Macaca fascicularis: one gene and its partner. The protein of the gene in region 2 interacts with the protein of the main gene of each other region in a pairwise test. Links are inferred from orthologs where the notes say so. Each region holds a gene or a part of one and is shown on either strand. Other genes may lie near its edges.

Region 1 (4,652 bases), on a different chromosome or scaffold from region 2:
CCCCTAATTTTGGATGCACAGTTTAAGGGATCTCTTAGCACTTAGCGATTGCGTCTTTGATGTGGCAGATATCACAATTGTAATTAGGCCCTCATCAGACTGGGAGCTTCCTGTGGGCAGAAGCTGCATCCACAGAGCTTAGCAATGCTTTGTGTACTCGGTAGGCGCTCAGTAAGCCTTTGCATGGACTCTGGGAATATACCCCCTTTGAAGTACAACACACAGTAAAGTACAGACACCTGCAGTGAATGTACAGATCAATGGATTCCGCATGTGTATACACAGAGGTTTACAATGACCACCCAGAGGAGCGTTACAGAACATTCCCCCAGAGGCTCTCTTGACGCAGAGAATTTAATTGCCCTCCCTTCCATCCTGTGCAGGCAGGCTGGTTGCCAGTAAAGGGATATGAGATGCCCTGATTCATCCGCAGATAGAACCCTTAGGATGAGTGGGAAGGACCTGTCATTCTAGAGTAAAAGTAAGGCCAGGAAGATTAAAGAAAACAAAAATTTAAAAATGCAAATGGTGAAAAGCATAAACCATGAACTCTTTTCCTCTTTCCCCACACTCACCCAGAAGCACCGGGGCCAAAGAGATGGCATAGGAGGTCTCAGGATCACCTGCCGCCCCACCACTGCCGTGATGCTTGCTTGTGACGTAGAGGCCGGAGTGGCTCTGAAATCACTGTCTTCAAAGCAGGCCAAACCTTGCTTGACACGTGCACAGGTCCATTCTTTTGCTTTTCAGCTCCCCGCAGGCGCGGACCAACGTGCACTTCTGAGCCAGATCACCTAGCCACAAGGAGGAAGAGAGACAGAGAGAGAGAGAGAAGAGAGAGAGAAAGGAAGCACCTGAGAGAGAGAGAAAGAGATAGAGAGAGAGAGTCTGAGCCACATCACCTAGCCACAAGGAGGGGGAGAAAGGGGGAGAAGTGGAGAGAGAGACACACACACACACACACAGAGAAGAGAAAGGAAGCACCTGAGAAAGAGAGAGAGCGTCTGAGCCAGATCACCTAGCCACAAGGAGGGAGAGAGAGAGAGAAGAGAGAAAGGAAGCACCTGAGAGAGAAAGAGAAAGAAGAGAGAGAAAGGAAGCAGCTTCCCCCAACGCTGCGGCCTGGTGTTTCCTCCCGTGTCAAACGAGAGGGCCCCAGATTGATCCCAAATGCTTTTTCATTTCTCAATCCAACATTTACACCAGCACATTATTCCCAGGGTGCCCAAGACCTCTGCTATGGTTGTGCTGCTGTCCCTGCAAAGGCACTGGGGATGGCCGAGGTGGGGGATGTTTCTGGGGGCTGAAATACGCTGCCAGGGGAAGGGGCGCCCCGATACCACCCTCAGTGGCTGCTGGTTGGGCGACCGGTGGCCCTGGCTTGAGAAAGTGAAAATGTCCAATCTATTTTGCCTGTAGCCTTGGGTCCCTTTTGGATACGGAACCGAGCAGCGGTCCTCCACTTCGCCCTCCCCCGCCGCTGCAAGAGAAAAGAAGGTCGTTTTCCTTGTGTCCCCGGAGAGGCCCTCGAGGAGCCCGGAGCCCCCCGGGGACGCCGCCCAGCCCCGGCGCCCGGCCCCCGGCCCCGCCCCTGCGCGAACTCGCCCGCACCCACTTCCCCGGGCGGCGCCCCCTCTGCGGCCCGTGACGTCACAAGGCCCCCAGCCGCCTGCGCCCCGCGGTGCGCGCCCCGCTCCGGGACCTGCCGCCGCCGCCCCGCCCTCGGCGCCCACACCCAGGCGCGCCCGCGCGCGCGCCCGGCCCCGTCCCCGCCTGGAAGCCCAGCTGAAGATGGCGAGCCCGGCGCCTCCGGAGCACGCCGCGGAGGGATGCCCAGCTCCCGCAGCCGAAGAGCAGGCGCCGCCGTCGCCGCCGCCGCCCCAGGCACCCCCCGGAGAGCGGCAGCAGCAGGAGGAGGAAGCGCAGGAGGCTGGGGCGGCGGAGGGCGAGGGGCTGCAGGTGGAGGAGGCCGCGGGCCGGGCGGCTGCCGCGGTAACCTGGCTACTTGGGGAGCCGGTGCTGTGGCTGGGCTGCCGCGCCGACGAGCTGCTGAGCTGGAAGAGGCCGCTGCGGAGCCTGCTCGGCTTCGTCGCTGCCAACCTGCTGTTCTGGTGAGAGCTTGGGCAAGGTGGGGGCGCTCAGGAGGGCAGGTGACCTTGGGGCGCCCGGGGCCCCGGGGACCCAGTGCAGGGGGAGCCCGCGGGACACTGCGGAGGAAGAATTGTCAGCACTGCCCCACTTTCTCGGCCACCGGTCTCGAACAGGTAGACACTCACCGCAACTTTCCTCCGGACGCACGTCCCTATGAGCAGTTGTCGTCCTCCGTGTGGGGATCCAGCCTCAGATGCGAGGTGGTCGGCCGACCCGCAGGCACCTGCACCTACAGGTGTTCCCATCGTACTTGAAAACTTCGCCCCTGCTTTCTAAAACTCTCAGGTCTTGACCTGCTCGCCCAAGCTTGCGGGAGCAAACATGCTTGAACGTGTCTTCGTTCTTGCGGCCCCAGCAGGCATATCTGGACCAGATTAGGTACACGTTCAAAACGGTGCCACATTCATCAGTCACCTGAGATGGACCCCGAATGATTTGTTTTTCCTTCCCCTGAAGGGTTAGGTTTACTGTCTTTATTCCCTGATGAGAAAACGGGAGGCAAACAAGCAGGTGGAGTATGCCCAGCACCCACCCCCGGGTGTGCCCAGTGTGGAAAACAGGTATATTTTTAGGTGAAGTACAGGGAGAATACACGGGAATGCTCAGCTCTTGAGCAACAGGTTTGTCTCTCCAAAAGGCGCTCTTCACCAGGAAGGCCAGGGAAGTGTCTGTCTCCTTCGTTGAAAGTGGCGTCCTGTCATCCGTTACCACGCTATTGAGGGCGGAGAAAAGCTTTCTTTGTTTTCTAAGTGTTCTTATAACAAACATGACCCACACGGTGCAGAATAATCAGAGCTCCGGTGACAGATACCTTGTTACAGGACAGAGATTTCTGAACCTTAAAGTTGAGAAATAAATTGCACAAAATAGCCTGTCATTTTCTAGGTTAACTTGAGCAAGGTGAATATTTCCTGCAGATCTCTACTTGTCCTGGTGTTTTCTCTTAAAACGAGCTCTGTCTTGTCGGAGGTCCCTGAAAGTGGATTAACTTTGGGTCTCTTAGCTACCTGTGTTTCTAGAGTTTATTCCAAATCTATCTTATTATGGAGTTATGCGAGCACTCAAATAAGAAGGACATATTGTCTTATGCTAGATTGGGCAATAGTCTAATAGTCTTAGGGCTGTGTCTCACTAATGTTTTCAATGTTTTTAACATTTTATTTCTTAATTTTAAATTTTATTTCTTTAAAAATCGAATACAGTCTCATAGTTCAAAAGTTTTAAAGGTACAAAAGGGTAAGCATTTTGAAAATCTCTTTCTCATCCCAGTCCCTGGCCGCCCAATTACCTCACGGAGGCAACCAATGTTACTAGTTTCCTGTGTCTCTTTCCAGATAGTGCACATTTCAGCAAATACACCATATTCTATGCAAATTGTGGAATACCATATGAGCTCTCCCTTTTCCTAGTATTTCTTGGTGATTGCTTCCTTGTTCTTTTTCAGCTGCTTCAGAATTCTATTGTAAGGATGTCTCAAATTACTTAACCTGTCTCCTACTGAGGCAGTAATGTTTCCAAGCTTTTGCTATTTCAGCGTTATAGCTAATGACCCTGTACATGCATAATTTTGCATGTATGCAAGTATTTTAGAGAACTTCCCAGAAGTGGAATTGCTGGGTCAGATGGCATGTGCACTTGTAATTTTGATGGCTATCACCATATTGCATGCAGTTCCTTAGGATTCTAACAATTGATACTCCCACCAGCAATGTGTGTGACTGCCTACTTTGCTACACCCTTGCCAAGAATATTTTATGAAACTTTTTGATCCTATAAATCTGATAGGTGAAAAAGACTATCCCAAAATGTTTTTATTTTGCAATTCTCTGAGCATTTTATCTTATGTTTAATAACCACTACAGTTACCTTTTATCAGCATTTTTGTTTATAAATAACCTGTCTATTTTTTTCAAGTAGGCCATCGTTCTTTTCCTTACTGATTTATAGGAGCTGTTTTTATATTAAAGACTTTAGCCTATTTCTGTAACATGAGTTGCCAACTTTTTTTTTCTATGATGTTTTCTTTAATGACACCTATTGAAAATAATGTTTTTGCATAAAATAATTGAAAGGCATATTTGGTAGTATTCAGGGGTGTTTTCTTCCAACCATTTTATTTATGACTGATGGAGAGGAAAACATTGGCCAGCCATTCCACCTAGATACAGCCTTCTCCTTATCTGTTTTATTTCATCTCCTGTTTGTGGCATCTGCATTCCATGCATGTATTTTCTTTGACAATGATGACTGTCCTGTTCTTTAAATTCAGAATTACTTGTTGCTTTTGCATTATAATTCATTGGAATTTATGACCCATTTATTAATGTCATTAAAGTTTTGTTTTTTTTCCCTTTTATTTGTTGCTCTGGGGGTTAAAATGATTTTCAAGGACATTACTTTTTTTTAAATAATGTATGTCTTCTCAACTGATCTTAAATTATATGGTACTCTAACCTTCCGTGTCTTGGGAACTCTAAAGCACTGTATTTTCTATGAGAAAA
Region 2 (4,598 bases):
ATGCCATAGGTCCTAGTCACTTACTTTCTCCCACTGAGCCACCACCTCCGGGAAGTAGGAAACACAGGGTCACCAAGACTCTGCAGAAGTTGCAGATGTTATGAAAGAAGATTACCTCCCCAAACACCTTAAGGAAAGCCCAGGGTAACCACGGATGCCCAAGGCTTCCTCCCCAGGTGAAGACACAGCCCAGAGGCCTGGGAAGGAAGGTTGGAAGAGCCCTATGGGTGACAAGATCACCTCAAGCAACACCACAGCTTCCAGAGCTACAGCTGTGGCAGACCAGTGGTGTCCAGTGGGCAGGCCCTGGGCTGTCTCCTCAGGTTGAACGCTGGCCTTAGGGAGGGAGCTTCCATTTCTCCCCTGCCTTTCTATCAGACACCAGGAAGTGGAGGTGGAGGACACTGGGAAAGAGGAAATCAGACCAAAAAATAGCCAGAGCTTTCCACCTTTAACAGAAGTAAGTAACTGGAATTTGGCAGAGGCCTCTTCTGGAGACTTCAAGGATTTTCAACAGGAACCTATGTGGGCAACATTGGGCTAGTTTCCAGGGCTTCTGAAAGCCTTCACTTTTAGAAGTATTACTTCTGGGGGTGGTATATGAAACCTACATTGGGTCACTAAGATAAGATGTGGCCAGGAACTCACACTCAGGGGAGAGGTGGGGGCCAGAATCTGGATCAGGGCCTAAAACTACCCACTCAGTAATGGGAAAGGACTGACTAGGATGTCAGACGGAGCCCCTCCATTTTCCTCTTTCCACAGGGGACTAAAGCTGGGCTATCAAATACACAGAAAAGGGGAATTCTAATGCCTCTGCCTACATTCAGGCCACAAGTTACAGTCCCAAAGACTGCTTCCAGGCAGCACAATAGTCTGACAGTCAAAGCAGGTGCTACCAAGGGAGGTATGAGTCTATAAAAAGACTTCAGAGCCCTTTACTGTGCAGCAGTCATTTTGTCAGACTTGAGGATCAGGCAGCTATAGACACTTACAATGTCAAAGAGTTGACCAAGTTTGGAAGCAAGCAAACTGGATGATTAACTGAGTGAGCCTCAGCAGGGCCCACAGGCTCCCAGTGGAGGAGCGTGCCAGGACTGCCTTCGGGAAAGAAAACCTCATTTCAGGCCTCAGTTCTACCTATAGCTTAAGCCTAAATAAGTTCTCAACTGTTTTAAAAGATTCTTGGAGATGTTAGGCTGAGTTTCATCATTTTTTTTAAAGTCCAGGCCTTGTTCTATTTTCTGAATCCAAAATGCACTCTTATGTATTGCAGCCATTATTTTCCTGGAGCCCCTGATGTCAGGGAGCACAAAATACAGATTTCTAGTCAGGACCCCTAAGAGTTTTCAGACTTCCAAAGGTTTGGAGTTTCGTAAGCAGCCAACCAGATGTCTAATACCAGAGGGCCCATCTAGTAAACACCTCTCACCTGGACTGTGGGACTGTCTTATCCACAAACAGGAAGATCGCCTTTTCAGAAGGAAGCTGGATCCTTTTCCTGATGATCCACATGAACTGAGCCACAGTGATATCAGATGGAACCAAGTACTTCCGTTTGTCAATGTCAACAATCTGAGAGCCTGAGACCTTTTCCACAATCACCTGGGAAAGTAAAGAGAGGTCAGGACTGCGTTTCCTAAAGGGAGGCTCTGGCCTCACATGGCTGAGGAGCTGACGAACAGAGTGTGGGCAAGGAGGTGGGTGGGAAACTGCATAGCAGGAGAAAATATGTCTTTGGCTTAATAAACCACATGCTCTGGAGGTTAAGAATTGATATAAATGTGTTATAGGGAAACGGTAAGTGCTTTTCTGTGGTCAATTATGTAAGAGAAATGCAGCCCTTACTACTAAGCTTTTCCACATTTTATCTGGGCAGACCTAAGAGTATCTGGGGAGGATTTCATCCATGGTCCGTTACTCTAGGACCCCAGAATGGATCCACCTTCACACTACAAGAAACACTACTGTGTTCCCAAGGAACACAGGAGACAAGAACGGATGGACTAATGGGAATGCCTGGAATTTCAGCCAGTCAAGAACCAAGCTCTTCATTTGGCCTGTTGCTCCTCTCTGAACAAGTTTCAAATCCGTCCCTCCTACTCCTTTCCTGAGACGAATTATTCACAAGCAAAGAGCTACAATAACAGGCCTTAATGTCCATTAAAAATTAATAAGGATTACAAAACTGTCTCCCCAACCATGAAAGAAATATAACATCATATTTATTATTGACTAAGAAGAAAACATGGCAGAAGGGTTTTCAGCGCTTTTCACATTATTTTGGTCAGGCAAGGATGACAGGGTCAAGGTGAGGTAACGGAGCTAGAAGTTAGGTAAAGATGGAGGCTCAAAGTAAAAGATGAACGTCCTGAGACTCAAGTACCACTTCCAAGACCAAAGTGACAGTCTCGCTCCACCACCATTCCCAAAAGTGGCAGTGACCTGTTGCCCTGTCCTAGAACATCGTTCCTTACATAATTGGCCAGGGAGCCCCGAGGCTGCAGACGGCTCGCTGGCCTAGATCGGGAGATTCAGCACTGAGGCACCCTGAACAGCACCAGCCCGAGCCCCTCACGCCCCGGCCCTGGAACGCCTCATCCCGGTCTGGCCTGTCAGTTACTATTAACTGGGACTGGAATCTCAACTTGTCAACTGTTGAATGGCCTGGGGCCTATTACGGGTCCCAGACGACAGAGGTGACAGCGAGGTGAGGGGGCGGAGAGTCCAAACACTCACCGGAACCCTGTCGGGATATTTCGCTCGAATCTTCGCGGACTCCACGCATCTGTGTTCTGTGGGAGAAACAAACAGGGCTGACGGCTGCGCCTGCCCCCCGGTCGGTTTCCGGCCCCCGGCCCTCCTCCTCCTGCGCCCTGCGCACAGCCCAGGCCCTGGTTCCGGCGTCCCTGCGGCCGCGGTCCTGTCCCCTACTGCTCCCAGCAGGGCCCGCGGAGGGTGACACGGGGTCAGGAGGCGGCTGCCCCAGGCACCAGGGCCTGGGCGACTCGAGACCGGAGCAGGGCATCCGCCCCACTCCACCCGAACCAGGGCCGCCACAGTGGGGGAGGGGGCCCACCCGCCGCCCCGGCCACCAGCAGCCCGGCCGACGGCCAAGTGCTTACCCAGCGAGTGGTCCTCCTTGAACATCCACTTCATGGCGGCGGCGGGAAAGGGACGGAACCGGCTCTCGGAGCCGCGGAGCTCAGCGCACCGACCACAACAACAACGACGGCAGCAGCGGTAGCGACGGCGGCGACTACACGGCAGGCGGGACTTCCGGCTGTCGGAGCCTAGCAACCGGTCGGGGGCGGGGCTTCCGGCGCTATTTGCCAGGACGCCGCGCCAAGGGGCCGGGCCGCAAGTAAAGGGGCGGGGCAGCGGATGGCCCCCTCGGAGGATCCTGGGCTACGGAGGTGATGAAGTTGGTTACGGGGACGTCTGTGAGCAGTATCTGCGACCCCAGGAAGGAATGTTCGGGGAACTGGTGACAGGAGTGGGGTCTCGGGAGCGTTGGTGGCGGGAAACGTCTGGCTGATAGTGTAGGGCTCTTACTGAGGGCTGTTTGGGGGTGTGGCTGATAGTTGAGAGCGCTTAGAGCGGTTCATAGGGAAAGTCTGAATGGGGAATTGGTGACAAGAACGGTCTTTAGGGGTAAGAATGACATGAGGGGTTTCTAGTGCTTGGCGATAACAAAGGAGCTGTTTAGGGCGTTGAAAGTTGGGGAGTATTGCTCGGAGGGGTGACAGATTGGGGGCTCAGTATGGTAGGGGTGGTGTTTGAGGACACTGTAGGAGGTGGCACTGAGGACAACCCGGAGGTACAGTATTAGGGACAGCTGTAATAGGTTGCCTTGGACCTAGAAATTGAATTTAAACAAATCCCATTTTCTTGCTTTATTCGTGAATAAATATTTGAATAAACATTTACGAAAAGGTATCACAAATGCACATTTGAGGCGGGGCGCGGTAGCTCACGCCTGTAATCCCAACACTTTGGGAGGCCGACGCGGGTGGATCACCTGAGGTCAGGAATTGGAGACCAACCTGGCCAACGTAGTGAAACCCCAAAAATTAGCCAGGCATGGTGGCGGGCGCCTGTAGTCCCAGCTCCTCGGGAGGCTGAGGCAGGAGAATCATTTGAACCACAGAGGTGGAGGTTGCAGTGAGCCAAGATCACACCACTGCACTCCAGCCTGGGCAACAGAGCAAGACTCTGCCTCAAAAAAAAAAAAAAAATGCACATTTGAGGAGTGTAACATCACTGATCACAGACCCCTTAATCTTAGCTGGCAGAGGAGTTAGAGGTGACTGTCAGATTCGGAGAATTCCCCTGAGAGCTGGTCATGAGATGGTTTTCCTCGTTTGGCTGTGGAAGTGGTTTAGCAATCACAGCCTGAGCTATGTGTGTGTCACCTGCCCGGACATATGCTTTGAGATTCTCCAGTCAGTGACGTAATGCCTTTTTTCCAAGCAGAGTCATCAAGGCAGTCTGGTGTGGGTCACCATCTGTTTATAAGCTGCTGAACATGTAGCAAGAATGTTCACTTAATTGGACACATGAACTCTGCCACGTGCTTGTGATTCTGATGCACCTGT

Evidence for each region.
Region 1: the proteins of GABARAPL2 (region 2) and RETREG1 interact in binary tests that used the Homo sapiens proteins (3 or more experiments, as listed by UniProt). The link is inferred for Macaca fascicularis from reciprocal best matches to the Homo sapiens genes GABARAPL2 and RETREG1.

The regions. Positions count from the first base shown.
Region 1 is NC_088380.1:17,282,391-17,287,042, reverse strand, and holds the start of RETREG1 (reticulophagy regulator 1), read left to right. Parts: upstream 1-1,765; 5' UTR 1,766-1,791; coding exon 1,792-2,111; intron 2,112-4,652. UniProt on the Homo sapiens protein: Endoplasmic reticulum (ER)-anchored autophagy regulator which mediates ER delivery into lysosomes through sequestration into autophagosomes.
Region 2 is NC_088394.1:71,416,151-71,420,748, reverse strand, and holds the start of GABARAPL2 (gamma-aminobutyric acid receptor-associated protein-like 2), read right to left. Parts: upstream 3,269-4,598; 5' UTR 3,160-3,268; coding exon 3,126-3,159; intron 2,796-3,125; coding exon 2,740-2,795; intron 1,606-2,739; coding exon 1,433-1,605; intron 1-1,432. UniProt on the Homo sapiens protein: Ubiquitin-like modifier involved in intra-Golgi traffic. Modulates intra-Golgi transport through coupling between NSF activity and SNAREs activation. It first stimulates the ATPase activity of NSF which in turn stimulates the association with GOSR1.